Linked DNA regions of Cricetulus griseus. The protein of the gene in region 1 purifies or fractionates together with the protein of each later gene. This does not show direct contact. Links are inferred from orthologs where the notes say so. Each region holds a gene or a part of one and is shown in the gene's direction. Other genes may lie near its edges.

What was found. The genes of interacting proteins can lie anywhere in the genome.
Region 2: the proteins of Bcar1 (region 1) and breast cancer anti-estrogen resistance protein 3 homolog purify together in Homo sapiens (co-immunoprecipitation; 4 studies listed by BioGRID and IntAct, counting the BioPlex papers as one, with this or other methods). This does not show direct contact. The link is inferred for Cricetulus griseus from reciprocal best matches to the Homo sapiens genes BCAR1 and BCAR3.

Annotation. Positions count from the first base shown.
Region 1 is NC_048596.1:188,120,776-188,123,977, reverse strand, and holds the end of Bcar1 (breast cancer anti-estrogen resistance protein 1), read left to right. Parts: intron 1-426; coding exon 427-516; intron 517-1,770; coding exon 1,771-2,283; 3' UTR 2,284-2,702; downstream 2,703-3,202. UniProt on the Homo sapiens protein: Docking protein which plays a central coordinating role for tyrosine kinase-based signaling related to cell adhesion. Implicated in induction of cell migration and cell branching. Involved in the BCAR3-mediated inhibition of TGFB signaling.
Region 2 is NW_023276806.1:36,085,011-36,089,007, reverse strand, and holds the start of breast cancer anti-estrogen resistance protein 3 homolog, read left to right. Parts: upstream 1-1,197; 5' UTR 1,198-1,335; intron 1,336-3,997. UniProt on the Homo sapiens protein: Acts as an adapter protein downstream of several growth factor receptors to promote cell proliferation, migration, and redistribution of actin fibers.

The DNA of each region.
Region 1 (3,202 bases):
GTTTTTGGGCCTTGAGGGACCAATCAGGATGGCTCCAGAACACCTTGGGGAATGGGCTTTCCTAGTGGCCATAGATGTGGCTCCATTCTATGTAGAAACATTCTGAGGAGACAGATGGTAGAGTCTAGATGACATAGGACAAGGGGAATAGGGAGGTAGGATGAGAATGACCTCTGAGAAGACACCTGCATGCCATTCCATTTGTAGACTAAGGGAAGGATTGTAGAATGACTGTACCCTCTACAAAGCTACCTTCCTGCACCAGACCCTTCCTGTAGGGGCTGCTTCCTTTACAAGCTGCCTCTTCTGGGCCTGGTGTGCCTACACTGCCACCTGGTGGTTCCCTGGCCCTTGCACCCATGGTACTTGCTGGTGCCTCTGTCCCAGAAGAGACTTCTCAGTCAGTGTTTTGTCTCTTCCCTGCAGGGGAAGGAGGAGTTTGAGAAGACACAGAAGGAGCTACTAGAAAAGGGGAACATAATGCGGCAGGGAAAAGGCCAACTGGAGCTGCAGCAGGTGAGGCTCCCAGTAGTCACCTTACGGTGAGACCCGACAGGAATAGAGAGCCCTGTTTGCCCTCCACCCAGCCAGTCACTATCCGGCATCGTAGCCATCACTGCCTTCTGACTAATTAATTTGGCTAATTAATTTGAGATGGCATTCTCACTCTGTTGCCCAGCCTCATCTTGAACTCTGCCTGAGCTCAGCTAACCCTCCCACTGTAGCCTCCTGAGTAGCTGTGACTGCAGCAATTGACTAGCATGCTTGAGACATCACAGGCATAGCAATAAAACACAAACGAAGTTACTGTCAGAGTAATGAGTCCGTTGTAGAGAGCACAGAGGCAGTGTAGGATTAGAAAGCACAGGCAGCCAGAGGCTGTACAGAAGCTGAGACAAGCCACTCCCCACTGGTCAGCTCCTCTCCACAAGCTGTGCCTCCCTGTGCCTGCCCGAGATGACACTGGTGAGCAGTCACACTCTGCCTCTGTCTGCAGCATTCCTCAGACTTAAAACTCTGTTCATAACTCCTTTTTATAGGCCACATAATGTCTATTGTTGAATGTTTACATTGTATCTAGTTTTCCATATAAATAATAGTGCTGTGTTCAGCCACAATTTTCTTCATATTTTAAATCATTTCCCAGGGTAAGAAAGTATTTTCGAAGGATACTAAAGATATTTGATTTTGATTGCGAAGATAACAGCACTAAATAAATATGAAAACTCTCGCTGTCCTTTCTCTGGGTATTGAGAAGGAAGGCAAAGGACAGCTTATCCCACCCTGAGATGGGTTATTCACTGGTTACCCTGACACCAGGTGGGGCTTACAGCTGGTAACTGCCTTACAGGTATGATGTTGGCAGTAAATGAGTAGTGTGTGAACTGCTTGGGAAGTGTGTGGCACATAAAAAGTGAAAGGAAACACAAGTTAACAATTAAAAATAAGCCGGGCATACTCCTGTAATTCCAGCACTCAGGAGGCAGAGGCAAAAGGATCATAAATTTGAGGCCAGCCAGGATATGTGGCAAACTATCCCTTCCCAGTAATAGCAGTTAAAATAGAAATGCACGTGTAGCTGTGGAGTGCCATTGTTTGAAGAAGTTGGTGTGCAGGCTATCTTTCCTGTGCAGTCTCCAGCTTGTCCTTAGCCAGTAATGCTGTCACTGACACTGGTGGTTTGCTTTCCTTTAGTGAGCATGCTCTGATGGTACAGATGTTTGCACATGTCTGTCAGCTGAGAGCCTAACCTTGTCATGCTTTCCACAGCTGAAACAGTTTGAGCGACTGGAGCAGGAGGTATCTCGTCCTATAGACCATGACCTGGCCAACTGGACACCAGCCCAGCCCCTGGTGCCAGGGCGGACAGGGGGCCTGGGGCCCTCAGACCGACAGCTGCTGCTCTTCTACTTGGAGCAGTGCGAGGCCAACCTGACCACACTGACAGATGCAGTAGATGCCTTCTTCACTGCAGTGGCCACCAACCAGCCACCCAAGATCTTTGTGGCACACAGCAAGTTTGTCATCCTCAGTGCACATAAGCTGGTGTTCATTGGGGACACACTGTCACGGCAGGCAAAGGCAGCTGATGTGCGCAGCCAGGTGACCCACTATAGCAACCTGCTGTGTGACCTCCTGCGAGGCATTGTGGCCACCACCAAGGCTGCTGCCTTGCAGTACCCATCACCCTCTGCTGCCCAGGACATGGTAGACAGGGTCAAGGAGCTGGGTCACAGCACTCAGCAGTTCCGCCGGGTCCTGGGCCAGCTGGCTGCTGCCTGAGAACAGAGGACTAGGGTATAGAGGCTGGGGAGTGGGCAGTGATGGTCCGAGCTACCCAAGCATCTGTCTTGAAAGTGAATATCCTGCAGGTTTGGGGACAGGTAACCCCAGCTCTGCCTTGGGCCTGGTGCCCTCAACTGTCCAGGGATTTGTACATATTTATAGCAAGGCAGGTGTGGGTTGCCTCCTCAGAGGAGCTGGACAAGAGTACACTGTGGACTGCTAATCACCAGGCTGGGGCCAGGGTGGAGGCACATGGGCCCCACCCGCAGAGCTCCCCGTGACAGGCAAGCACAGTGTGGTGTGCACCTCTGCACCAAGAAAAAAACCCTAAAGAACTATTTTTCACTATTGATTTTTTCCAATCATTTGACTAATAGTCTACATTTAATAAAATTTTAAAAATGAGAAGCAGCCTATAAAGATGTTTGAGACATCCTCTATGTGGGGAGGTAGATGTATCCTTGACCCACCAAAATGACTAGACATGGTGAAGATTCTGGGAGGGTAAAAGAAGAGTGGACCCTTCAGTAGAAAATCAATGCCCAGGGACCTGGGGAAAGGCAGGAGGGCTGGGCTGGCCTGGTGGGGAGATAATGTGGCAGTATCCTTTGTGCCAAGTGCACAGAGGCACTGCACAAAACAGCCTCACAGAACTCCAGTCTGGGACACCCAAAGTGTCTTCCTTGAATTAAAAGGGACTTGGCCTCCAAGCTAGAAAGACGGAGACCAAGAACAGGCTTGCTTGACCCAGGTTGCTGCTTGTGGGAGTTTAGTGTGTGTTTGGCACTCTACTGGCGGTCTCGTCTTTGACCATTGTGCATGTGAATGTGGGCCTCAGTTTCCCTGCCCATATAAAGAAGGAACTAGGACTAGGTGATCTGTCGCTAAGAAATCCGGCTGAGGGTACCTAGCCTCC
Region 2 (3,997 bases), on another chromosome or scaffold:
CCTTGGCTTCTCTTGATGATGGACTGCAGCTTGTAAGCCAAATGAACAGTTTTCTCTCCCAAGTTGCCCTTGGCCATAGCATTCATCACAGCAACAGAGAAGTGAACTAGGCCACTGCCTAAATAAAATTACCCTGCCTGTTTTCAGTCCAACTTTCTGGCTTATTCATGTGATCTAAAGGTGTTCTTTATATATTCTATATACATTTCCTTTATTGGATGTATGCATTGCTTATGTTCTGTCTGTGATTTGCATTTTCATTCATGGTATGGGAGCTCTTAATGTCCATTATGTCAATGAGCAGTTCCCCTTTATAGTTAATAGTTCATGTATTTAAGGAATCTTTACAGCAAGGTATTTTCTGATAATTTCTTTACACCGTTTTACCTTTTATATTTAACTGTAAAATCTATCAGGATTTGATTTGGGGATCAAAACATCTACCGGGATGTTATTTGGGGTGTGGTATGGGGTAGGTACCCTGACTCCATGACCTAGCATCATTTATTGGACTGTACTGTCTCCCAGTGAGCCTCGGCAATAACTTTGACATAAATCAAGCCACCAGATAGTGCAGATGTGTTCCTGGATTCTGGTCCATTGGTCCATTAGTCTGTCTGTGTGTGTTTGTGTGACTTTATAAATAGGTTTGATAACTGCTAGTATGTGCACCTCCACCCACTTGGCTTTCCAAGTTCGCGTGTGAGAGTGATTGATTTGCCTATTTCCTGGCTTGTTCACTGTGGTTACCTCGTCTTTGTCCCATCAAATTCCTTTAAATTGAAAGCCAGCCAGGTGTCGGAAGATCTGTTGGGTAATTAAATAACGCCGGGAAGTGGGGAGGAGGGGATTAGGTGAGGCTGGCTGGTTGAGTGTGGTTCCGTAAGGAAGAGTTCAACCTACATTTGCTTCTCCGGAGAGTCAAAACTCTCGAATCCGGGCCGAGGAGGGCCAGACAGCTCACCGAATGTAAATGTCGCGGGGGTTCGGCCCAGCCCGACGAATCCGCTGGGCGGGGTGGGGCCGCCAAGCCGCAAATCACCAGTCGAGGGCCAGAGAGCGCGCCGCGAGCTCAGAGCCTTGCTTGCCGCCGCCGGGCCGGGCGGGAGCCGGAGCGGAACGCCGTGCGCACCGACCAGCCGCGCCGGTCTCTCGGCGGACGCCCGCGAACCATGAGCCGCCCACGCTCCCGGAGCTGCTGCGGTGCGGTGCGGGCAGAGCGGCGCTGAGCGCAACCCGGACCCGAGCGCCGCGCGGGGAGGTGCGTGTGCCCGGTGCGGTCCTGCTCAGGCTCCCGGGCTCCCGGGCTCCCTTGGCCGTCCCGAGACCGCACTGGTAAGTTCTTAAGAGCAAAGTTAGGCTCGGGGCAGGGCGCAGCCCGCGTGTTCTCCCCCTGAAGCCCCACAGACTTGGAGTGGGGGGTGGAGGTGGCCAGACTCGTGCCCTCCGGGGTCGTCGGATTCCGAAGCTCCCGGGAGTGGAGCGCCCTGATGTGCTTCCAGCATCTCCACTCTTCGGCTCCGGGACGATACCGTCCCGGGCGCGCTCGCCTCCAGAACCCCCCCCCCCCTCCGGACCCCTTCCCAGTCCTGTCTCGTTCTGCCCGAGGCGGGTCCATATTGGGGAGATGGGGTGGCACAGAGGACTCTGCTGGAAGCCGGAGGCTTTCTCCACTAATCTCTTGGGAAGTTTGCAAAGAAAGTGAAGGAGTCTGCCCAGTAACCGTTGACAACATCTCCCTCCCCTCGCCTTCCCTTTGTTGAGAAAGAATGAATAGTTGGTTGTGTGGCTCCCCTTGAGTCGGGGAGGGGAGGGCAAAAGGAGGGAGGGACGGCTCGCAGCCCATCTTCCTTTACCCGCCTAGTCTACTGCCACTTAAAAAGTTTGATCAGGTGTAGAAACTCACTGAGTGCAGCTGGCAAAGGCAGCGGGTGCTGTGGGACAGCGCATCGCAGGACTGAGGTGTAACAGTCGCTTGAGGGCAAGTGAGAAGGAGTAACCCGTGTCTGGTTTTGCCTACAGCAGTTAGGCAGGAAAAGTAGAGCCCCGGAGTTCGGAAACTCTCTTAAACCTTGACTCTTATCTCCCAAGGTTCTACCGACCTCTCCATGGCAAGTACATTGGCCCAGAGAAGGTCAGTTTGAAGCTGATTTATCTCATGCTGTGTTTCCCCCTGGTGGAGATGAGAGCCTGAAGGAGGCTCTGCAAGGCCGAGTGGGAAGGGGCCTCTAAATCACGGGGAAGCCCACTGGCTCATCCCATTTGCCCACCCGACTGTGTCAGGAAGCCTCCTGAGTATAAAGAAAACAGTTTACCGTGCCAAAAGCTCCCTCAGCGCCCAACACCGACTCCCTCACAAGTGTTGTTAAAAAAAGCCTGACATTCCCAAGATGAGTAACCGAGACATCAGTTCCTATTGATAAAGAAAGAACTGCTTTGTCAGATGGGTGCTAATCTTAAGAACCTTGCCCTGTAACTCCTTCACTGTATTGCTTGAAATACAATCCATGGAAGAATTATTCATACTTCAATCATTTGGCTAGACTTCATAAGTTTACTTCAAAAATAAAAGGATACCCTCCTTGAGAAAAGCCAAGCAAAAGTTCTAAGTGGAGAAGCTAATTTTATCTGTGGGGTAGTCTCATCTGCCTTTGCTGTCCCACTTTGCAGAGAAGATAGGGGCCACTGTCATGGTAAGGGCAGCCGAGGCAGTGACATTTCCAGTTTGAAATATAAAAGTTCTTGAGGCCCTTCCATCAGATTGCCATGTGTGAGTTCAATTTGAAAATATCCTGTTTCAGAACTGGAGAAGAGTCTAAGCAAGTGTGCTGTTTATCTTTGCTTCAGCTTGCAAGATCACCAGGTTTTGCTGTTTTGTTTTAGCCATCTTTGTAGAGTAAGTGAGCTGGACCAAGCTTGTTAACTTTTCTAAGCTTGGTGGCTGACTAGAGTCAGGAAGGCAGGCAGCAAGGCTGCTTTAGAGTTTGTTGTGAGGCCATCCTGTCCTCAGCATTCCTACTCTCCTGCTTCCCCTATCAGGATGTAGCATCTGACCTTGTGTGTATTTCAGGGTCTGTCAGTCAAGGCGGTTGGGTCAAAAGTCTTTGCTGGTGTTTGTTTGAAAGCTCGAATATGGTTCACTTGGTGTCTATGCCCTTTTGTGTCTGTGTCCTCTTGGCCTGGTGTGTTTACATCTGTTGTAGGTTGAAACATCTCGCTCCTCACCCTCCCCAGCTGCAGTGTTTTCTCGTGTGAACTCCAGCGGGGACACAGTGACTAAGTAGCTATGCAGACACCGGCCCTGCCCTGATCGGAGGAGATGTATTCTTGCTTGCTGTGCACCAGAGACTTCATTATACATGATCACATTTAATTTTCCCAGCAGTCCCTGAAGACAGGATTGTTAGCACATTTAAGAAATGGTGACTGACTGTTAGAGAGTGGTGTAACTTGTCCCAAGCCTCATAGCTACCAAGGCAGAGGCAGGGCAGAGGTTTGAAGTAGTAAATACTGGCTCTGAAACACAGGTTCTGAGGCATGCCATTTTGATTTTCAGAGACCAAATGGTACATAAGATTGTTGAATTACTACTGGCATCAACACAGAAACATCTGCCAGTGAGGAAGAATATGTGGGACTCAAGAGTTCAGATCCTCTGTGGATCTGTTCTAACTAGTTATTCCTAGGCTTTTGCATTTGTTGCACTGGAATCCTTCCCCTGCCTGGCACTGCCTTCAGATCTTTTCTTGCCTGGTCCCTTATCTCTTTTCTCAGGTCTCATGTCATTGTTAACTCTTGAGAAAGGGCCTGCCAGACCATCATATCATAAAGTTATCTTTTTCTACAGCCAGCATCTCTTAGCTGTTGTGCTTTGTTTTGAATTCTTTGGAGTACTTACAGCTTGGGTATTGCCTGGTTTATTTTCTTGTTTATGTGCTTTGGCGGACACCCGACATTACAGGCATCTTGAGAGCATACCCTTATTATGGCCCCTCCC